Lepisosteus oculatus: one gene and its partners. The main gene of each other region encodes a partner of the protein of the gene in region 2 in a complex. Links are inferred from orthologs where the notes say so. Each region holds a gene or a part of one and is shown on either strand. Other genes may lie near its edges.

Evidence for each region. Proteins that work in one complex are often made in the same cells at the same time.
Region 1: gtf2h5 (region 2) and polr2b share a complex: the UniProt entries of both Homo sapiens proteins name them as parts of the TBP-based Pol II pre-initiation complex. The link is inferred for Lepisosteus oculatus from reciprocal best matches to the Homo sapiens genes GTF2H5 and POLR2B.
Region 3: gtf2h5 (region 2) and gtf2a1 share a complex: the UniProt entries of both Homo sapiens proteins name them as parts of the TBP-based Pol II pre-initiation complex. The link is inferred for Lepisosteus oculatus from reciprocal best matches to the Homo sapiens genes GTF2H5 and GTF2A1.

What each region holds. Positions count from the first base shown.
Region 1 is NC_090696.1:33,267,943-33,276,071, reverse strand, and holds the start of polr2b (DNA-directed RNA polymerase II subunit RPB2), read left to right. Parts: upstream 1-4,563; 5' UTR 4,564-4,694; coding exon 4,695-4,713; intron 4,714-5,738; coding exon 5,739-5,811; intron 5,812-6,671; coding exon 6,672-6,822; intron 6,823-7,020; coding exon 7,021-7,133; intron 7,134-8,129. Other genes in the region: noa1 (nitric oxide-associated protein 1), read right to left, coding at 663-794, 1,835-2,046, 2,415-2,579, 2,981-4,235. UniProt on the Homo sapiens protein: Catalytic core component of RNA polymerase II (Pol II), a DNA-dependent RNA polymerase which synthesizes mRNA precursors and many functional non-coding RNAs using the four ribonucleoside triphosphates as substrates.
Region 2 is NC_090697.1:48,834,004-48,841,541, forward strand, and holds gtf2h5 (general transcription factor IIH subunit 5), read left to right. Parts: upstream 1-4,228; 5' UTR 4,229-4,334; intron 4,335-5,021; 5' UTR 5,022-5,066; coding exon 5,067-5,101; intron 5,102-5,802; coding exon 5,803-5,983; 3' UTR 5,984-6,604; downstream 6,605-7,538. Other genes in the region: protein SERAC1, read left to right, coding at 961-1,143, 1,563-1,706, 1,903-2,039. UniProt on the Homo sapiens protein: Component of the general transcription and DNA repair factor IIH (TFIIH) core complex, which is involved in general and transcription-coupled nucleotide excision repair (NER) of damaged DNA and, when complexed to CAK, in RNA transcription by RNA polymerase II.
Region 3 is NC_090703.1:2,817,643-2,826,114, reverse strand, and holds the start of gtf2a1 (transcription initiation factor IIA subunit 1), read left to right. Parts: upstream 1-4,906; 5' UTR 4,907-5,150; coding exon 5,151-5,180; intron 5,181-7,530; coding exon 7,531-7,632; intron 7,633-8,472. Other genes in the region: ston2 (stonin-2), read left to right, coding at 533-616. UniProt on the Homo sapiens protein: TFIIA is a component of the transcription machinery of RNA polymerase II and plays an important role in transcriptional activation. TFIIA in a complex with TBP mediates transcriptional activity.

The DNA.
Region 1 (8,129 bases), on a different chromosome or scaffold from region 2:
AGAGCCTTTAAAGTGAAACAGGCTACCACTCATGGAGTGCACAAGAATCTTAATGGCACCACTCATGCCTAAAATATTTTTTTATCTCCTTTGAATCTCATTGTTGCATCTCATTTGAAAAAAAATATTAAATCTCTCTTAAATCATTTGCCACAGACTGCTTTGCAGATTTATACAGCAGTTAACAATCCTGTACAGCAACAGTAGACCTCAAGAGTACAAAAAAAGGGAAAACAAAAAATTCCTGTGGGAGCAAATAGACCTCTGGGGTCCCAGTTCTCCTCCAGGCGATGTGTTTGTGGTACTTTTATTACGAAAAAATCTGTACAGATACCTATTGAATAATCAAGCAAAATCTGTATGTAATATTGGTAATATTGCAATATTACATCCAAAATCAGCATGTAATATTGCAAACTACCATTATTTGCCTCAATTATCCTTTTGGCACTTTTAACTTCACTGAAATCGTAATCCACTATTGTCACTTGCGTTTATTTTACATCACAACATTTAACACAACTGCATTTAAAGTGTCACTTATGTCCATGCTGAATTGGGGAACATACTCTAAAAACAGTTAACAAACATTTTACTTTTTAGTCCATGTATGACACCATGGGCACAAAACCAAATGGTCATGACCTCTACAATTTACCCACCTTAAGGAAATCTATGCGCACTAGGGCGCCCAAAAAGAGCACCATTCCCGGCTTCAGCACAAACGTCCTGGGCACAATGGCTTGAGTTGGTACCACCATCTTCAACTCTTCATCTGTGAGCTGACTGAGAACCTGCAAAATGCAAAGAGATTAAATAGCAGAACTGCTTATTTCAATAGGCTTTCAAACATGGGCACACAGTATACACAGCGCCCTGTTACAAACACTTTACACGTGTCTGCATTAAATGCTGTCTGCCATTTGTTAAAGTTTGCCTTGATCTTTTACAGATTGTTTTTAATCCTCATCCTCCTATTTTGGTGTCATCTGTGAACGTGACTAGTTAATAACCTAATCCCATTAAGATCATTAATATAAATTAAAAATTGATTTAGAGGAGTGGTCCTAACACAGAGACTTGTGGTACTTCAGAAATAACATCACCCAGTTTTGAGCATTTAACCCTTCACTGTTTTCTATGCATTAGGCAGTTCTCAATCCAAATCCATACAGTAGCTTGACTCCCTACTACCTATTGAGAATGAATCTTTTATCAACAGCCTTTGGAAAATCAAAATATACTCTGTTTGTATCCATTACTTCTGTTGCTTGTTTAAAGCTATGCAAAGAGCTACCCTTCCTACTTCCATGTTGACCTTGCTCAAGAAATCCACTGCTGTACAACTGAGCCACTAGTTCTAATTTCCAAACCCCTGCAAGTTCATAGTGTCTGAGAGCTATAACGCGTTGCCTGGTGTTCTGGATGACTACAAGAAAGAAGTCTGTACGTGGGTCTGATAGAGGCGACCTCTATGGGCACATATAAGGTTCTGAGGGGCATCTACATGGAAAAGGGAGCTGGAGTCAGTGTAGGACAATCAGTTTCCTCTGGGAAATAATCAAGCTTATCAGTACTAAAGCTTCCCATGTCTGCCTGGAATAAAAACAACTACAAGATGGCACATTTTAACTAATAGGGATAGCAATAACTGACCATGGGCACCAGCAGACAGTAAGTGTTTCAGTCAGAGAAGAGCTCTACATCTGACATGATGCTGCACTCATGACTCATGTCTGATTCAATATATTAGGTGCATGTAGTAATTATTCTGCAGCTAAGCACAAAGATTGCATTGGCTAAACGTACAATACGTTTTAGCAAAAGCACTCACACAGTGTTCTTTCATAATTCCCGGGGTGTCATACAGCCAATGCGCATCTTTGAGCTCGTTGTGGGTGAACTCCACTGGGTTGGAAAGAGCTGATTTTTTACTCATTCTGTCTTCTTCCTCCTCTCCCACACTGAGACTTTCTAGATCAAAATCCACAACATCCATATCTTTCTGCGCCTGGACAGCCGAGCCAAAAGATCTGCCAACTCGCCCTGAAATGAACAGGGAAGACAAATTCCTTGTCAACCGTGCAAGTGTGGCAACTCCACCCCCACAGGAAGTCTTTCATTGGGCTCTTGAAGAAATCAGGGTCATGGAGGAACAGGAATAGGTTTATTATTATAATTATGGGCTTGAAACCAGGCTGTGTTAAGGTACCAGATGCTGGAATGTAAGTTAAAGTGAGGACTGAGAGTTAAGGGGAGCATAGGGTTAGAGTTAAGAGTTTCACTGTGTCATTTAAGTTAGGGTTAAGGGGAAGTTTAGATTTAGTCACAGGGTTTTTATTCTGTCTCCTTTTAATTTATTCAGGCCTGAACAAATGTTGATCTGGTACTGTCATAGAAGTCAGAACTCTTACCTACTAAATATCCCTGCTTGCTGAGCTGCTGCAGTCGTCTTAACTCCTGTGGGCTCAGGTCCTTCTCTGACTGAGAGCCATCACTCTTCAGTCTCTCAGACCTCTTGAACATGCGATATGGAGTGGGGTTGATGATTGGGAACTTCAGGAGATTTAGTGTGGTGCCTCATGAAGAACAGATAGGTTAGTGTCTGCTTCCATCTGCAACAACCTAAAATATGACCACCTAACATGGGATAAATTTAGGTTTTGACAGATGGAAAACAATACTTTTCATACACTGAGCTGAGGGAATAGCGAAAGGTATTTCTTCCTCAATCATCAAAACATCTAGTGATTTAGACTGAGGTTTATTACACTGTTCATACAAAGACTTCACATAAACATATCCTAATAACTTGAACTTGGCACTGCAAGGCCTTTACTTAGACATATGGGCAGTTTCTCTGCAAATCATGCTAAACCTCACTGCATTATATAGTGCCTTCATAGGCTTCTACGACGAAAGAGAGCGGGTCTTCACTTTGCACTGGCCTGCAGCCTGGCAAATGTACAGTAATAATTACCTGGCCATCGAGATATGGTAGCTTTCTGAATCACATCTGGAGCTTTCGACTTGCAGTAGTCTGACTCCAGCAGGGTGTTAAACAGTGTAGACTTTCCAGCATTTGCTGTTCCAACCAAATACACATCTCCTTTATATTTCCACGATCTTTGAAGACTCGAAATTAGGTTTTCTATCCCATAGCCGGTCTTGGCGCTGATGAGATGGACGTCTTTGGTGCCATCGCCTAAAGTAATACCTGCGTCAACACAATATGCAAAAAGCTGACGTTTAATTCGTTTTAAATAGCAATCCGAATCGCCAGGTAGCAGATCTATTTTATTTCCCAGAACCACTATGGTTTTATTTTTGCCCACTAGTTCTAACAGATCTGGAATGATAGAATCGGGAATATCCAGAAGGTCCACAATGAACAATACCAAAGCTTTTTCTTGGCGTATCCGACTAACAACATTCCGATATTCTTCTTTCGAAACCTGAATATTTAAAGACTTTTGGTGATGGACAAGCAAGAAACATCGCTGACACACCGCTCTGTCCATCTTGTCCTCCTTTATTAGCTGTTTGTATTTCTCACTGGGTACATAACCGGGCAAAATCGGGTCAGTGCAATGCATACGAGCACCGCATCCCGAACAGCTGTTGTCACTAAAAGGAATCTCCTTATCTGGAGTGCCGTATATTTTTTGAGATTTTTTCCTTTTAGAAGTTAATTTAGGAAGGGGGAAGCCAGCGTCATGAAATTCTATATCCATTTCTTGTACGTCCTGGTCCTGGTCTAACACTGTATCTTCTAATAACCGCATCTGTATTTCCAAAGCTCTGTGATACACCTCTGTACACGACTTTCGCGATGCGTTTCTCTCTTTATTGGCCACAGACCCCATCTGCGAAGGGGGTTTGAAAGAAACCCCATCATCGTTCTCTTCCTCTAGGTTGGAGTAGTCTAGAAAGACGAATTCTTCTTCTTTTTCTGGTTCAATCGATGTGTAAGAGTTTCCAAGACGTCCCTGCTTTCCGCTGTCGCCGATTGCCGCTTGCGTTGTGCTGTAACAGCGGGCCACTGACGTCCACGTGTCTTCCAAGCAGAAGATCTTAAAAGTTGGCACTTTTCTACAGAGTCCTGGACAATTGCGTAGAATAGATGAACAGCGATTACCTTGTCTGTCCCCCAAAGTTGGTAAAAATACAGGAAACACATTCCGGGCGCAATAACAAGCAGGAGCACATTGCTTTAGTCGGTATAACCTCTGCATTTTTAATATAATTAAAAAAGAAATTATACTTGAAATATTTTTTTAAAGGTTACGTTTTTTCTTCTTAGTTGAACCTTGAATGGCAAATAATAACATACACATGTGGTGCGTCTAGGAGTCTTCCATTTTTAGTACTCTGACTCCTGTGACGTATATGATTACCACATCAAACCATCCGAAATTATTATTAATAATTATTATCACGATTCTCTTTGTATTATTATTGAGAATATCAATTACAATTAACATATTTCTGGTGGTTCAATTATTTTAAAATGTTTCGTTTGACGTCACGAAAGCCTGCAGGAAGTGACGTATACACCATCGATATCTCGTACTGTTGTGTTCAGGTGGTGTGGATGGAAGTAGAGGGTTATAGCGCACTTATTTTTAATTCAACGTATTTGTAAGTGTTTTTTTTTCTTTTGGAGTCAATAAAGGAAGTACCTTCAATCCAATATGTATGATCAAGATGAAGGTAGGTATCTGGTTTGTTTAGTTCTTTTTTTAAACAATATTTTGAACATGGCGTCAGGGTACGTTCTTTGATTTTTGGTCTGTATTGTACAGAGGTGTCTTATAAATGCAAAATGAATTGTGCCATTAACTCTGACACGTTTAACGACATCTGTTATTTAGATTTTGTGCATCCTGAAGTTTGTTTTAGAAATATTGTGCTTCGTTTTCAACATTCTCAGTCTAAACCGTTCGTATTTACAGTCACTTTCAGCACATGAGTTCTAAATTTGTATTTTGAAATGCATTCAACAGGCGAGAGCTTTACATCCAAATAGGGAAGGTGATTTTCCAAAAAGCTTTTGGCATTTCAGTTTTATCAAGAAACGCCAGAAAATGAAATCGGAGGAACGGTAATTAGTTCATGGTGGTTCTAACATCTCATTTTGCGTACCACTGTCCTTAGGAATTAAAAACGTGGCCTTTTCTTTAATGTTCGAAAAGGTTGCAGAGTAGCAAACGTTATAAAAGTCAATTTCGGTGAAGTTAACAGATGCCTCCTGATGTATTAGTCTAAGTTCTGTCTTTCGACAAACAATCACACTCGTGTCGCCATTGTAACAAAGCTGCTTCAGAGAGGGCAGGTTATTGAGGAGAATAAAGATTTTTTGCTCCTTTTATCCTTGATCATGCCTTTAGGAAGTGGAATGAAGCAAAGTGCCTGGAGAAAATTCATATGTGTACATGCAGTGCGATCAACTCTGCATAGGCGGCACGCTGTCTCCAGAGCTGTGAGATAGCAGGTCCAAGTACCATGTCTCTTGAAAAGCTTTTTACCACGCATGTAGTGTAAAAACAGTTTCTGTGAAAATCAAATGCATTAAGGGCCATCTTACCTTTCTTTGTTAGTTTCATATGCAGCAAGCTTTCTTCCTGTAGAAGGTAACTGCCTGTGAATAATACTTTTTTAGGGGGAAGTCCAAAGAGAGCATAATATTTTATGTGGATGGGGCTCCCTTAATATTACAATTCTGTGGTCTTGTTTAGATATTCAGTATGATGAAGATGACGATGAGATCACTCCAGACTTGTGGCAGGAAGCCTGCTGGATTGTCATCAGGTGAGCAGCCTAAAAAATATAACATATTAACCACCTTCACCTTTTAGGGTTATCTTTTGATTTTATTGATCTTATTTTTGACTTAATACTCACATTTCAACATTCTTCTGTGCTGTAAAAGTCCAGCCCTGGTCCCAGTGACGTACAACCCAGCAGATTTTGAATGTCACCATTAGTTTTCCTACAAACAATTGTAAAGACTTGAGAACTGAAATGAATAATTTCAGTTTTGTTCATTTTTTAAAGCTACACAGTTTAAAGGTTGGTCATTCCTGATTTAGTTGAACCAGTTACCTGACTAAACTGATCACAGTCCACATGTTGCAGGTCCTTACAAAGATATAATTTAAGGATGACCTATAAGACCTACTTGATTGTGGCTCTCCACTGCAAAAGTTGAACTGTTTTTCATTTTGTTTTAAGTGTGTCCCCTTATATATTCATATATATGTTTGTCTGTTTATGTCCAGTCAAGTTCTATCCTGCTTTTTTAAAAAAGCACATTTTTTTTCTGATACAGATATACAAAGTTAAAAACATTTCTGGTAAAGGGTTTCACAGATTTGGCTGTAATGAATCAGAATGTATTTAAAGTTCTAAAACAGAAGGAAATGTTGGGCTTTAATGAAGATAGTCTATAGTTCACTGTCATTCTTAACATTGCAAGCTGCAGTTTGTCTGATGCAGTCAGCATTCTTCCTTTCTGTGCAGTTATTCTGACCTATATCTATAGAAGCAGTAGTGATCATCTCCTGTAATGCAGATCTTCAAAGCAAATTCAGCCCAGGTTTTTTTCCACATTTGGGGCACAAAGGGGGAGAATGGTATTAGTAATGGATGGCCTGTTCTTGTCTTCGTAGTTCTTATTTTGATGAAAAGGGTTTGGTGAGGCAGCAGCTGGACTCTTTCGATGAGTTCATCCAGATGTCAGTACAGAGGATTGTGGAGGATGCCCCACCCATCGACCTGCAGGCTGAGGCCCAGCACACCTCTGGAGAAGTGGAGGAGCCCGTGAGTCTCTCGACGGCTTGAAAAGATTTTTCCGGCATGTGACCCCAAGCAGTCTGAAAGTGTAGTGATATGTATTGATGCACAGATACGTCTGATTAATTGGTGCAGGGGGCGGTTTGCCCACAGTAGGGGCGATTTCTGTGAAATCAATGGGTGGATTTTGCATGTTTATCACCTCTTGTCATCTTTTCGTTCTAGCCACGTTACCTGCTGAAGTTTGAGCAGATTTATCTTTCCAAACCTACGCACTGGGAGAGAGATGGAGCTCCTTCTCCTATGATGCCAAATGAAGCTAGACTCCGAAATCTTACGTAAGTTGAGCTTTACATTGTTGTGTTGCTCCCTATTCTGATGCGATCCCCCACATTGTTTAGTTTTGTCCATTGCTGTTGCAGAAATGTGCTTCACACCAGGGTTTTTTTGAGAGCTAGAGCAGCATTGTGCAGCAGGGGTTAGGTCTCTGAAACTGGAAGGTTAAACTCCAGCTGAGACAGTGCTGTTTGTACCTTTGACCAAAGGAATTCACCTGAAGTACTCCAATAACAATACCTGGCTTTGATATTTTTCCATTTTAAAATAAAGTTGGACACTGGGCTCCTCATTTCTGGTCTACCTTCTAAAATAACGTTTCTCCCATCACAATATCAATTTCTGGATAATTTATTTCTCTTATTAAGGGAATGTATTTTAACCAACTGGTTTAAGAAAAACACCCTCTGTTACATTTTGGTATGGTGAATGTTGTAGTGTACTGCCCTATGGAAGGCTTAGTGCAGTTTCCATAGGAGAACAGAAGATCATAAACTATGGTCACCTGTTACAGAGTATTTGCCAGTGGCATTAACAGAATTGTTGCTTAAGGGTCAGTGAGTATGAAAGTGAATCCCTCTGTGGGTTCCCCAAACTGAGGGAGGAGGGGTTAGGGTGGATGGTGGGGGGATGACTGAATGTGGAGGAGAGGACAGGATGGATGTCACTAGTTGAAGACTGGAGATAATTTTTTTATCTTTATCTTTCTTTTATTGTATACTATTTCATGGTGGATTTTTTTCTTCTCTTAATCTTATTGTTTTTCAATGATGGATGGTATTTGAATTTTGTTGGAAAATTAATAAAAGGATGTAAAAATACCCAGTTTTGAGTTCCATTGTAAATTGGTTTGGTTTAAAGGGTCAGTCGGATAAAAATGAGTAGAGAGTAAAGAGTACTACCTTTGGAGAAGGTGTGCATGAACTGACATCAGGTGTTCGAAGGATAGCAAGTGGCCGACTTCACAGCTGGTCACGAGTGATTAGTTTACGTAAATG
Region 2 (7,538 bases):
CAGTAAAATGTCAAGACTGGTCAAGAATTTTGTGTTTTTGTGTCAAATCAGTTAGGTAACAAATGGTAACACTTTGCTTTCCATAGAAATACAACCAAACAGATAAATCTCTCCTTTTACAGCATATCTACAAGATATTATGTCAACTATATTTCTCCAAATTTTACCCCAGATCCTCACCTTCTTGAGTATATAATCCAGAAAAAGGTTCTCCAATTTTCACCTACATATGTAGCATCCAAAGCCTATGTGGCACAATTTTTTAATTTTATACTGTATAAGATCTGCATCCAGACACCATCTAACATGACATGTTAGAATTATCTTCTCAGTTGAAAAGTAGTGAGTGCTACAAACACGCGTAGGTCGTGTGAAAGAATCCTAGGGAAAGGTGTCATAACTCTTAGGTGTCTGCTTCATGCAAGGTCGTGTAGGGGTCCAACTGGGCTGGCCAGCATCTCCTAAGATCATGAACAATCACCCCACACATACAGTACTGATAAGTCATGCAACATGTGGTATTGAGAATCCTTCCTGCTGGTGTCATAGGACTTCTTAGGATTTATTTCCTCTTAGCTTATGATAAGTGCATCACTAGATGTAATTTAGCTTAAGGTCTGTTTTACAGTTTTTATATCTTATACAGTATGCTTTTAATCAAAGAATTTCCAGTTTCTGGGGACTTTTTCTCTTCCATGACAAGGTGCAAGGCAACTTACAGAGACTACAGGATGAATTATGCTACTCCTGCAATGACACTTATGATAGGCCTTGCACTTAACCTCTCCTCCAAAGAATAGAACATAAGGAAGTAAAGTAAAAAGAATCATTTATTTTGAACTGGGCATCTCCTACCCTTTACTGTATGGATGGCATGTTCAAACTGAATCTGTTTGATTTTACAAGTTTGAATTTAGAAGTTTCTCTTTCAACCTTAGATGTTTTTCCTTATATTCACAGGTTTGCTGGTCAAACAGATGCTCCTTGATGCCTTAAAGGACCCTGACATGCAGTCCTTAATTAAAAATACACAAGGAATCATGTTCTATAGTGTTCCTCATCATGGAACCTCTATTGCTGAGTATTCAGTCACTGTCAAATATTTGCTGTTTCCTTCGGTAGAAGTCAAGGAGCTCTCCAAAGGTAAGATCACTTAAAGTTTTCGGTAAAGTTTTTATTCACTTTGTTTTATGATTGGATTTAGTCAAGTTAGTTTTTTAGGTTTAATATTTTCACAGTGCCAAGAAGTATAAAACATACTGCATGCCTCTTGTTATGATGTATGCAAACACTGCCCTGGTTGTTTTTTTTCCTAAGACTAATAGTAACGATTTATGTGTTATTCTCTCAACTGCTAGCTGTTGAAAACGTTTGATGTTTTAAAAGGGGAACACCTTTCTGTTGTTAGAAACACGGAAATTACCTTTTAATATGTCAAAGCCATGTTTACAGCATCTCAGTGGCATATTTTAATTCTAAGATAATGGAATTTCAATTCCATTTTAATTCTAAGTAAACATGACCATTTTTCTATCCATAATACATCTTTTCACATTTTTCAGATTCCCCTGCACTTAATGAACTAAATGAACGCTTTCTGTGCATGGCCAAGGAAAGGAAGTTCAAGATACTAAGCTTTGCAGAAACACTACCCACCAGCATCGGTCCTATGGTGAAGATGCATGTCGTGCCAGTGCAGTCTGCAGGTATGTGCTTAGGCTCCTGCGGGGAGGTAAAATAGATACAGTATATTAAGGGAAATTAATAATAACTTAAATTAAGCAGCACAAGCCAAAACACATGGGATTGTATATTGTGAATTTCTTTTCATTTGTTCAGGAAACCGTAGCACTTGATTATTTTTGATGTAACGTTTAATCATGTTTACCATTAATTTTTCAGATCTGGGGATTGGCGACCTCATTCAAGTGGATGTCGATCATCTAAATATCTGCAAACCCCAGAAAAAGGATTCTTTCCTTTACAAGCGCAGTTTACAGTTCATCAGAGATGCACTGGAAAGCCACATTAACAATTAATAAAAACGTATTACTGTCAATACGGACAATATATTGAAAGCACCTTCCCCAAGTGTTCATATCCTAAAATTAAAACTCAAATCCAGCTTTTAAAAACCTGACATTATTTTGCCATATTGCATATGTATAAAGATTTCGTAATATTTTGTTACTGAAAGCAGATCTATAACATTAGTATTCAACAGAACATACTGCATGTTATGAAAGTTTGATAACAAAGGAAAAGAAACTAAGAGTTTTGTAGTGTTTGCATTTTTAATAGCATACTGTATATGTCAGTGTTAATTAAGCCTCAGACATGGATACATAAATTACCAAGAGTTTACTGTTTCATTGAGCAGGAAAAATAGAGCAGTGGTCTGTGTACAAGAACATAAAAGTTATAATCTTCAGGTGATATATACTGTATATTTTTTATTATAGAAGGTCTTTACTTTTACATGAACTAAATATTTGTAAAAGATACTAAGTTTACTGTTTCTGTTGTAAAATAGATTATTCATGAATAATCTTAAAATGTCATTGCACAGAAATGCAAATTAATTTGCATTGCGGAAAAACTAAATAAATTATTATTATAAATGATAAGAAATATATTTAACCCATGTTTACAAACCCTGGTACCAGATCTCAAATAAATATTCAGAAGTATAATTCCATTGCACTTTATATTCAAAGAATATCACATGATATTTGAATGCCATATTATTAAAACATTTTTTGCATTTGTATTTACATTTTGGGAGTTGTGTGGTTATTAACTTTTAACATTAACTGTGTGGTTATTAATACTTTGTCTCTTAATGTTGCTTTCTCCTTTAGAATATTCTTATTCTTTAAATGTCTGCCTTGTACCTACTTACATGGAATCCTGTGAAAGCCGTTCCAATTACAGTATATACTATGTGAACATCATCCGTAAACATTTCCTGTCTGTATTTGCAGATAAGATTAATTTTGAATGATCTATTGACTATGTCTCTCTGTTATTTTATAATATAATTGAAACTTTGTTTTATGAAAATCCACCAATAAATGAGACAACAAGCCCCTTACACAAAGATATAGGCTGTTTAACAAGAGAAGGCCAACAACCCCTCCCCACACACTTTGTGGGTGAGATTATCAATGTGTATAATATTAATGCTTAAAGTAAGGATTTGAATTATAATTAATAATAATAATAATACCCACTGTGACTTCGTTAGCATGTGTTGTGAAAACTGGTATACTTGTATAGATCTGTAAGGACACTGCTCTTCTACAGTGTACCAAAAACACACCAAAGATCCTCTCTAGTAATCTACTAGGATGCTGTGGATCCATTGATTACACACCACGGTATGATCTGTAGTGGATGGCCAGTCTCCAAGGAAAACAGTTTGCTGCTGTAAGTGGTGTTAATGGATAAGATGTCAATCCTCTGTACCAAAGTTTCCAAACCTGCCGCACCCCAACATGGTGACCAGGGAAACAGCTGTATGTAATGTTGCCCTCCAGATAAGACACTGAACTAATTTCCTGACTACTTGGTTGTTAAAGATTACTTGATAATGTTAGCCAGGAATTTACTTTGGCCGCAGGTACGCATCTCAAATGATGGCACATTCTAAGATGTAAAAAAAACTACTGACTTTCACATTCTAAAAAGTGCTTATTGTGTATATGACAATACTTATGATCACTTGGATGAACACAAAATATGTTTTAGATATGTTTTGATATAATGAATATCATGTTATGCATGCACCCAAAATAACATTTTATTTATTCATATTAATCTCACGATCACAAATAGAAACAAATAATCAAAGGTTTAACTTTGTTGTTAAAATACTTTCAGAGATCGCAGCATAGTTCAAATAGTAAATAAAGAAGATGCAATCCAATTTTAAGGTCTTTTAAGGCTCGACGGTGTACTTAAAGAACCTGAGGTTTATCCGGAGAATGTCAATGTCATATGGCATTGTTAATGTGGAGAGATAAAGACAATTTTAAAAAGAGAAACGTTAAGTATTCCTTTCGAAGATAAAAGCTTGAGACTACTTCTTGAAACAGAAGAATTTAACAAAGTTCCTTTTCTTACGCGAAACCAGGCAAAACGGTCATGACAATTTCAATGGGTTGTGTACTGCGCCTTTAAATGCAGTCTATCTTGTCCTGTTTAGCTTTCCGTCCACAAATCCTGTACCACAATGCTTTTCGCATGGTTGTTTTTAAGTAACCGGCTGCTGTTATATTAGCAAACGCACGGGTACACTGCTTTGAAATTTAGAGATTTGTAGCTTTACAGAGGTGAGTTTTCACTTATTCACCCTCTCGATATTAAAAAAAAAAACTATTTACGGAACTTTAGTACAGCTAAATCGTTTAGCATTTCTGCTTAGCACGCCTTTAGGACTGTGTATTTTTGTATTATAATTAAAGAAATAATCCAGCTCCAGTGAAGCTTTTACGAAACTTGACTAACAACCTTTACACGTAGCTATACAGCAGCTCATTGTGCTCTTTGGCATGTCTAGAAGTATTTCAGTCTAATACTGTGCATTAGTATTGGTAGTAAAACCCACACAAATAGGTTGTTCAATAGTAATGATGGTGTTTTTAATGGCGTTAGTTAATCTAAATGCTGTTTATAATTAATTCCTCTGATACAACAATTACCATGTTTGTATGTGTTATAAATTTCGAAAAGAATGCATGCATAACCATTAAAATGCATAAGTGTGTGTGAGAGAGGAGTTTATTCGCCATATGTACATTAGGATTCGTTTTCGCTCGGTTTTCTCGGGACGAGTACAGTACAAAAGACAACATTTTCACATAGTGTGCACAGTACTTCACAGTATAGTAAATGATAACATGACAGTACAACAAAGCACAGTAATATATAACGGCAGTACAGAACAATGAACACGAGGTCATTATTTCATATCATTGATACTGTAGAGTTATCCTGGTTTTCAACTTACCTTTCTCTAGGTGCATATCACGAGTCTCTGAGGTGGGACAGCTACAAGTAGAAAAATGGTGAATGTTATGAAAGGAGTTCTTGTTGAATGGTATGTACATCAAAAGAACTTACCTGTATTTCAAAAATATCCCTGTGCCTTTACTTCCTTATTTGTAAAATAAATTTTAAAGAGTTTAAAACACTTTGCTTTTTATCTTATTTCTGTGGCTAAAATTTGGATTTTATCGATTGTAGTCATTCTCAAGATACTTTAGTGTTCAACTTAAGGATGCTATGCTCAGGATATTTAATGAGGTAGTAGGATAAATATTTGTAATGCTTTTAGTAAAACCATTTTTTAAAAGAAATGAGGTTAAGTGAGGTGATGCATTTGCAGTTAATGGGTCTCCAATAATTTTGCTTCAAATTGTAGTATTGTGTAATAATGATATAGGCTAATTGTCATTAAATGTGCATTGGGCAACTTTTACTGTTTGAAATTTACTCATGAAATCCAGGCATTTCTCATTCCTATTCTGAGCTCCATGTGAACTGCAGCTGCTAAAAAGCTGTTTGTGTGTAGTGACAATTTAAACATACAGTACAATAATAAGAAAATGTCCAAGATTGTAAAATCATATTACTAATGTTTTCAACTATTGATCTATAATATTTTAGGAGAAGAAAACTAAACACAGGTAACCTAAAATCTTCAAAGAAAGCAAGTACTTTTACAGAGTCACTCTGTATGTTGTCAGATTCCTGCATTTTCTAAAATGTGTATTTGTATTTGTATTTGTTTTAATGTAGTGATCCTGCCATGAAGCAGTTTCTTCTGTATTTGGATGAAACTTCTGCTCTGGGGAAGAAATTCATCATTCAAGACCTGGATGACACGCACGTCTTCATTTTAGCAGAAGTAGTTCAAATCCTACAGGAGAGAGTGGGAGAGTTAATGGACCAGAACTCGTTTCCTATTACTCAGAAATAAAGCAACATGGAGATGTAAATGGAAGACCATGTTCAGCACAAACAACTTACACCCTTGTTTTATTAAGTGTGCTCTACAGTATACAATGTGTCCACATTATAATATGAACTTTTGTATTTTTTTTCATTGTACAACTCATACAAATTATAAAGGTATACCTCAGATATTGTAAAAGTGAAATTGTAAATATTTGGGGATGGTAAAATTTTGTTTCAGGAATAAAGAAAAATCCTTGATTGCTGTAATGGAGGAAGCATTGTCCCACATATTTTGGGGTTCAGTTAATATTTAGATGTTCAAGGGCTTTCAGTTTTCTTGGCAATGCATTAAAGGACAACTGTGCATTATTTAGTTGGTTCTTAATGAATTCACATTCTTATTTACTACATACCAAAATGTGTGCCCAACTAAAAAGAATTGTGGGATTAGAATTTATAGTTTTTAATTTAAAGTAAAAAGTTCATATATTGAAAAATTGAGAAGACCACAACCAGTTACACTGAATCTACAAATGTTATTCAACATGTTGCATGCTTGAAATAGTGTATTGACTTTTCTACATATTGTGGGGCAGTGGTTAATTGTTTTCTTAACAGTGCATTAAAGACAACTCTTGTGTTATGTAGTTGATTCAAAATGAATTTACTGCAATCAGATGTGGGGTTGCTTAAATTATGGTATGAGAGATCATGAAAATGCATTTGAAATCAATATCTAAAACATGAATAATATTTATTTCTTCTTTTGTCACTTGTGGTGAAAATATCCTAGGTACTATATTTAACAAATACTGATTATAGTAGTTGATCATGAACATCCACCATTATAGTAGCTGGATGGCTGGGGAATCATTGTAATCTGCTGTTCTGATAAAAGAAAACTTGATGCTCTTGTGAAAAAAAAAAGTTTATTTTATATTAACTGGAGAAATGTTGACTAGGTCCACAAACATTTAAACATTCTAGAAAAGGTTATATTTTTTCAGGTAGTTTACGTTTTAATATGAAAATATTTACAAATACTTCACTAGATTCCATAAATAGGATAAAACCTACACATTCATCTCCTGTAGTTCGGGATTTTTTTTTGCTAGACATTATTTTATTTCCGTAGCTGTGTTGGGCTGTAACTCATGTGCATGTGCTCTGGTGCACTGTGTGTCATATGGAACCAGGAGATGTTTTCCCATGAACAATTTTGATGGATCTGATGTGGTTTCCTGCATACAACTCCTATCAGAGCATACACAGCATGTGCAAGCTGAAGGCATTTGTTATAGTTGTACTATATAAAAGAGGTTTTCTAGAACAATATAGAACCACTAGCATACCTTAATATCAGAGCAGTAAAACTGAAACACTTTAATTTTTAATTGATTATCTCTTAATGGTGTTTGGTAGTCATAATATATATCCTTAAAAGATATTACAAAGTACTTTAACCTCTCATTTAATCTTAGATTTTGATACTTATTCACTGCATGATAAAATGTGTCCCTGACTATTAAGTATTACAAATAATATAGAATTACAAAACTAGAATTGCATTTTTATTT
Region 3 (8,472 bases), on a different chromosome or scaffold from region 2:
TCGCAGGTGGCTGCTTGACCCGAAGCCTGGCTCTCGGTTAATAAAGGATTAAAAACATAAAAACAGATACTTTGTTGTCCACTAGTGTGGGAAATCATCTTTGGCTTCTCCCTTAAAGGTACAAAAAAAGCACAAGCAAAACATAAAACGCGCATAAAATCGCATGAAGTCCATGAAATCACAGCACCAGTACGTAAGACGTAAATAAACGGATCGAACATTCAGTACTGGGGGGGACTAGATTTGCAGCTATTCAATCTAAGTCTGAGTCATCTTCATCTCTGAGTCGAGATGCAGAATCTCGTTGAAGCCACTTTAATCGAAAAAGGAAGGTTTATGCGACAAGACTCGGTGTGTCATGTTTTAATTGCCATGTTAAATTGCAAGCTAAATCGGTAATCCCATCTTCTCACCTCATGGCTCTTTGGTCCCATCTAGTGGCCCAGTGAAGAATCGCCATTCACTGTAGTGTTGACCTCTGGCTGCCTCAGTTTTGTGGTGCCCAGTCCCACTTTCCGTGTTTTTTTTACAGGTGGAAATGGAGCAGAAAACAGATTTGGCGGAGGATCTGAACAGCCTGCAAACAGAGAAACCAAATCGGTGCTCACAGCAGTGACTCTTTCACAGGAACGAAGAGCTTTGCACTTTGGGGAAAAAATATTCAAAAAGGCATCACCTAACACACTGATTTTTAGATGGCGATAGAAATGGACTTTAATATTGTTTTTCCAAAAGGGAAAGGCCTATGTGGTCTGAAAGAGCGACTTGTCCTTGTATTAACTAATTTATTAGCTGTGAGACAGGATTGCCTGCTTTAAACATTTAGCGTTTGGGAATTATGGGTTTTGACAGCTGCTGCTGATGTGTTTATTTTTGGTAATTGATTTTTTAACCATGCAGGTTTACATAAGGCACTTTTTACAGCTGATCAAGCAGTGCTCTTCTGAGAATGTGCTTAGGCTAAAAGGTGCTTAATTAAAAAGCATCCTTAAGATATTATTGAAAAATATCAAAAATATAAACTTGAATACTAACCATTTTTTCCACAAAACCAATCTGAAACAAAGGTGCCTTCACATTTGGATTTCACCTAGTTTAGATATAGGCAAGTTAACTTGCATTGTTTCTACAAAAGTAGTAAAACTGTAGTTTGTATATATCTAAACCAAAATTCTTTGTTGTATGGTTTTCAGCATCTGATGTTTTTACAGTTGCTTTTTTCAGCATTAGGATGAAAGAACTGGAATGTTTCCTGTATAAAAAGAGGAAATACTCAAAAGCAGTTTAAAAATTGTGAAATAACACATATGTAAGATTTTTTGCTTGGTGGCAGAGTACTACTGTTATGCATTTTTTTCATGATAACACACAATAGTAGAAATGCTTACTTCTATTTTTTTTAATATATTTTCCTACTCAGATATGTAAACTACTGCTGATCATTCTCATTTCAACGGTTGTTATGTACTGGCCTTCAGACCAGTATCTATACAAACATTTATTATGCTGTAAAGTAAGTTTTTAATGTTACGGTAATGAGGTTTAATGCTGAGTGTTGAACACCATTTTGATTTGAACCTGGTGCACTGAAGTCTTTATTTAGAACTTAAAATTTGCACCTTAAATTATGACTCCTTTGAAGCAAACACAAAAACTTGAAAGCTTTAATCAACGATGTTATTTAGACATAAAAAGCTATGTTGTAAATATATAAAATTGTATTGCCTTCCATACCAGAAAGACTCAAATAACTTCTAAATAAATTATAGCAGAGGTTGTGTTACATTACTGTTACAGTCTGACTATGGTACATCACAGTGTTGAAACCACAACCTCCTATAATGCTGTACATCAGGGCTTTTTCAGTGAAACTTTATCCAAGATTCAAGATTCTGATTTGTTCTGTGAGGTTAAGGCTGGGTAAACTGCATAGACCTGCTGTGTATTAAAAGACATTTTTGATTGAAGAGTTTTTGTTTGAACCAGGAACGAATACTCTGTGTCTTCCATTTGTGCTTCTATAACCTGCTGATCTGACAGTAGCTTGTTGTTTTTTGTTCAGGGCGACAGTGATCACCTTTTAAAGTAACACGCTTGGTAAGAGAAGAGATTTAGGATTATACACATGAAGGAGAGAGACTGAAGGACAAGGATATAGAGGAAAAAAAATTATTTGTAACAAGTGACAGTGATCCGGACTGTTGTGTCTGTGATGGTTAAGTAAAAACTCTGTTCCAGCTTTTGAGTTTTAAACCATTTTTTATTTCTGTATTAACGATGTGAGGCCATAGATAATCCTGGTAATTCAGCAATTAAAAAGCATTTAACTACTGTAAGTTTATAAAGTTTCATTTGGAGAAGAACACATTTGTAGGATTAAAGTCTTTTTTCAAATTTACAGAACTTCCGTTGTACTTTAGCTGTACAGTATTATTTAAAACTATTTACAGTTGGTCAGTGTGAATAAAATAAAACTTGTACTGCACTTTGAGAAAAAGCAAATAACACTAAGATACTAAAAAGCTATTTTAAATAGTACATGAAATAAAAGTAGCAAACCAAATTTGTAGTACCTGTTGCACTATGACTGTTTTATGTTTGTCAAGTACAGTACATTGAACACGTAGAGAGAACTTCTAAACTAATAAAAACCTTGAATAAATTCTGTGAAGCCTCACATCCAGGTTACTGTAAATGAAGGCAACACCATCGTGTGTCTGATTAACTGAATCAATTGCACTTTTGAATGATTTACAGTTATACCGGATTTAGGTGAAAAAGATTTTTGTTTTAGTTTTTAAACCCTTGGGTTTTCTTATGCTCTAGTGGTGAGAGTGCAGATATAGTCCCGACTTGTCAGACTGGAGCAGAGGCAGAGATATACCACATCTGATGGTCACACCCCCATGACTTCAGTGGACTAAAAACTAGTCATCAGTGCATGAAGGATCCAGTGAACATGTTTGCAGAGCCAGAGCAATGCTCCCTCATTCAAACCATGGTCCTCAAGCAAACATCATCTGTTTGCAAAAGGATCTAAAGGCGGTTTTGCTCAAAATGGAGTTTAGTACTGTATATCAAACCTGTATAGTCCTAATTACCATGAACTCGATTCTGAGCAGGAATGGTCTTTGATCGGTCTTGATGTAAACGGGCAGAACTGTCCCAAGATGGTTGACAAGACACAAGCTCTGCATCCAACTCTAATTTCTGATTTTATTCAGCTGCTAACAGTACCAACAATGTTCTTATGTTTCTATGATGTTCTAAAAAGACTATCTTCCAAGATATGTACAGTATGGAGTTGGCTCTTTACGCATTCAGAAAGATTGCAGTCAAGTGACTGGACAGGTTTTCACACATGCAGGTAATTATTTGTGGGTTAATTGGCTTTGGTAGAGGTCATTAGTTTTTTTATGCTGCAGTGGCCAGAGAGACCTGGATAATTTAATATCGTGCTTCAATCATACATCTTATTTGTCTTCAAATAATGCAGCTAATGAGACCCATTTCTCTTAAGAAATTGGGGTTTTTTAAATTAATTTATTGTGCACGTGTTTTTGAGGTAGAACTCAAATGAACTAGCATCTGAAAGCTGTACTCTTAAAGATATCCTGCTGTTGCTCCTGTTTTATTCTTTGTGATGGAATAAAAGTTTAAGATACACGTTTCGTATGCTGTGTCATTTTTTCTTCTATCTGCTTCTAATATTTTTTTTTGTGTATTGACAGAATACAATCTCAGTTTTTAACACGTGTTCGTCTTTGCAGTGGTACACCACGGCTTTAAAGATCTGCAATACAGTTTAGATACCTTGGAGCTTGACATAATATAAAAGCCCTTTGACCCACTTCAAAAACATGCAGAGCTGCTGGAGAAAGACGTCCCGCACGTCAAACAGCAGGACGAGGAATCACCCCGGTGCCCAGCAGACAAGAGTGCGCTATCCCATCCTGGGACCAGACTGCGCACCTGCCCTGCCCGGGTCGGAACCGAAGCTTGAGCGGTTCTGGAAACAGTCAGCTTCCCAGCAACCTCACGAAAAGCCCGCCCGTTGATTCGGTGCGGTATGATACAGTAAAGTACTTTTTTCTACAAGTAACGGCACAGCGGCGGCAGACCAAGTCTATCCGACTCACGCCGAGAAAGAGCTGCATCAGCGTCTTCGCTTGGACGTGTAGTCACGGATCGGACTTGGCAATGTTTTTGTCTGTGTGTTGCTGTGTTTTAGATCCCATTACAACGCCGTAACGATAGCTTAGTTCCTACCCTCCCCCACCCCAGTACTCAGTGGTCCAACTGGGGGGGGGGGTTAAAGCTTAAAAAGGGAATCGTGTTTGTTAAATAAACAACCCATCCCAGCGTTGCAGACACGTGTCGCCCTACGAGATGTTGGTGGTGGAGGGGATCCCCATTACCCGTAAAGCGCTTTGAGTGGAGTGTCCAGAAAAGCGCTATATAAGTGTAAGCAATTATTATTATTATTATAGATGTGAGCAAGCGCAATCCTACTCCTGTTCTTCGGCTGGGGAGCCCCCAAACCCCTCATGCTTCACCGAGAAACGACAACACCACAGCAAGCTCTTCACCTCCCCGGGAGGCGCATCAGGCGCATAAAATAAAGACGACAATGGAGCAAGTCAAGGTTTATTCCATGCTGAGAAGAAACGCAAGGTGGAGCCTTTCTTCAGGTGTGACATATGGAATAAACCTGGACTTGCCCCTTTGCAGCCTACCCGTGCTGACGCTGCTACCTACTCCACCGAACTACGAAAGACTACAATTCCCAGCAGGCCACTCCGCCCAGAGCCCCCGGATGTGGGGGCGTCGGAAATCTCGCGTCCTGCGCGGAAAATCCCGGGCGAGGCCTCGCGAGACGCGCCGCGCTGACCAGGGCTGTGTCTCGCGCACTCGCAGCTCGGTATATAAAGGAGGGCGGCGGAGCGCGGAGGACGGCTGGACAGCGCAGCCCTTGGGACTAGTATAAGTGCATAGTATTTTAATTTCTTTTAAAAAAAAAAACCCAAGCCGAATTGGGTGGGGGGGGGTTCTTTTAAATATCGGATTTAGATGTTTTAGTCTCTGACGTTTCCGTTTTGTTTTTAGCAGTGGGTTTTGGTTGTTTTTTTTTTTCACACACTCGGCTCATAATGGCGAGCTCGGCTAACTCGAATCCCGTGGTAAGGACTGATCTCCAGAGCAGTCAGTCAGATAATGACGCCGATTGCATTCGTGCTGCCGAAACGACCGAGTGTCGACACTCTCACAGGGGGGCATATCCTTCCGTCCAACATGCAGGGCAGCTGAGGCAGGGGAAGAGAGAGGGAAAGAACCGAGCAGCCATTCGTTGAACTTCTCGGCGAGACCAAATTTTGAGCCTCAGTGCGGTTGCATCTCACTGATTTGTAGCTAACGTGGGGGGTTTTGTGAAGAAAGCAACATGAAAAGAGCAGTGTTTCTTCTTGCAGCGCAGGGATGTCTCCCCTAGGAGATGTACTCTTGTTTGCAATGTAACATGAGCATTGGGATTTTGAGTTATTTTACTGTCAAGATTTGGTTTCGAAACACTGGTATAATGGCTGCTTAGGTTTTTTTTTTAATGCCTGCTTGGGCTGTTGCAGCTCTTAATGGTAGACAAGAGGGGAAAATGCATTTACAGGGTATTGGCACAATGCTGGAGTTTTAGGTGCATTTTAAAAATATCGTTTGGGGAAAAAAAAGCAGTTTTATTGTGGTTCAGTAGGGACTCTAGCTCGTTTTAGCCTTTCCATTAGGAAAGTACCTTTCTTCTGTGAAGCACTTTCTTTCACTAACGGAGGTAACATCCTTGGCAGTCCTACCGACTAAAATATTGTAGATTTACAGCGCTTCCCCGCATTGGAACAGTAGTGGCCCGCAATTTGCGTTTTAACACGAATGAAACGTAAAATGTAAAAGCGTCTGTGTGGGGTGGGGGGGGAGAATCCCTCTCTTATTTTAAGGAGTCGTCCTCATAACATTTCACAGATCCTGGAGATTCGGCCCCAGTTCGTGTGTGTGAAATGGTCACCTCCACCCAAACCCCCCTCCTCCCTCCGGGACGGGACGCGGGCAGCTCCGTGTCGCCCGGCTCCGGCTCCGCCAGTGCGGCCGGCCTCCCTTCTCCCTCCGCCGCTCTGGTCCTCCGCCTTTCCTCCGTCTTTATATAGAGCCATGGCTGCTCTCTAATATAGACTGCCAGGGATGGGACGGTGCTACTCGCGGCTACGTCACAGGCTCGCCATATAAACACCAGGCGGGGGTTTAAATAGAGAGCAGACGAGCCGGCCGGCCGGGGGAGGCGCGAGTGCGGAGGACGTCGTGCCGAGACGGCGGCCGTGCTCGCCCGTCGGAACCGAGCCCAGCCGGGTCCAGCCGAGCCCGGCCGCTTGGACAACCTCCGCCCGTCCGTCCTCCTGCGAGAGGAAGCCCGCCGAGCCGCTTTGCCGGCGCGCACTAGCCCGATATCTTGTGCGCCGTTTGCAGAGCCGCGGTTCTCTGAAAAATGGTTTTGATTCTGTCGGGCGGGGAGGGGCTGGTGTGGGTGCTGTACCTGTCCGCCCCCCCGCGGTAACGCCGTGTAGGTGCGCTGTGCCGTCCTGTGAAACGCGTTTGTCGAGGAGCATGTGTGTGCATGGGCTTCCGGGCTCCCGAGCCGGTCTGGAGCGGCGAGCGGGGTCGAGCCGTGCCGCACCGTGTGAGCTTGCCCGTCCGGATCCTGGAGGCGGGGACCGGGAGGGTGTCCCAAGATTTCAACCAGTCCGTAGCGCAGCAGGAGTGCAGGGAGAGGCCAGGCCGTGGCCTTTTCCAAGAGGTGCCACAATGGCCATTGAGTGCCGGATCCCAAGTTGGACAAATTCTTGGAAATTGTCCGGGAGACTTCAAGTGAATTGCGAAGTGCTTGAAAGCCCTCACCGAAACCGTGTAGTTATGCCGATGTGATTTAGAAATATGAATAGAGGGTATACAAGTTCCCCTGAATAATGTGTTGAGTGCAGTTGATGAGTGGAATCTACAGGATAGATTGAATGATGTGTCCTTGCTTCACAAAAACAAAAATCCATATGATTAAAATTGGACTTCATTTTTAGTCGCTCTTCACTGCAAAACTAACTTTCAAGAGGCTCCCGTGTTTATCGTGTTGTCTCGCAGAGTAAATTGAATCTTCTCCTTTACAGAGCTCTGCGGAGGAGTGAAATGGGAGTGTGGTGTACAGAGAGGGCATGATTTATTTATAAACCCTGCTCGCATACGGTTTACAAATCTGTGTCAAGCCTGGCCGTTTGTTTATTTGCGTCTTTCGAAATCCACAGTTGTGCAGTTGTTGCCGAAAGACATTTGCTGTTGGCTTGCAAGTTTCACTGTTTGCAAAGATCACTGTTTGCAGCTGAGATGGAAAAAAGGTTTGAGAGTTTAATTAATTGATGAGTAAGTTTCAGAAGAAGGGAGCTGATTCATCTGTCTGTGGTCATACATTAAAAAATTATTTTCCTGTCCGTTTCTTTGTTTCAGCCTAAACTGTACAGATCTGTGATCGAAGACGTGATCAATGACGTCCGAGAGCTCTTCCTGGATGAGGGAGTGGATGAGCAGGTCCTCATGGAGCTTAGAACAGTACGGAGTCTCGTTTTCCCACTTCCTGTCTGTCAAGTTTGCAGAAGTGTCATGGACAGAAGTTTTGACTGCTGTAATTTGCTGTGGTGGCCTGTTTGCATTTTAAAAGACAGCAGCAGTCCTTAATTTGTGTAGCAGATATTTTGACATTTGACATTATAGAACATTAAAAAACCCCACGAGTGTTGCTTTCTGAAATAAACATTCACAGAGTTGTGAGATTCCCTTCCAGTTCAGTTTCTAAACTTTGAAAACTGTCCCCCAGTTTTCAAAGAGGCGGAGCAGTGGCTCTGTGGCTCAGGATCTGTGCCTGTGGCTGGAAGGTTGAGGCAGAGGAGTCCTACTCCGTTGGGCCCCTGAGCAAGGCCCTTAACCCCAACCGCTCTAGGGTTGCAGTACAATGGCTGACCCTGCGCTCTGACCCCCAGCTTCTCTCCCTGTCTGTGTGTCTCATGGAGAGCAAGCTGGGGTCTTCAAAAAGACAAATCCCTAATGCAAGAAATTGTATAGGGCTAATAAAGTGATCTTATCTAGTCCAGTCCAGTCCCCTCCCCTCTCCCCTGATTCCTCGACCAGGGCTCTCAAGAAGGAAGCGCCTCCCTTGCAGTCCGCTCGACCAGTGCTTTCACTCTTCCTCGGGGGTCTGCTGGCGCACGGCTCCCCTTTTGCTATTCTGTCATTTTAGCTTTTACTGTTTCTAATAACATCCTCTAGCCGGTTTTATTATGAACAGGAGTGATTTCTGCAGAGAGGCTCCTCGAGCCTTAGAGGAGTGGGCGGGGGTGTGCGGGTTTGGGGGCTCCCCTGGCGCTGTGGGGCGCGAGCTGTTGAGTGTCCCGG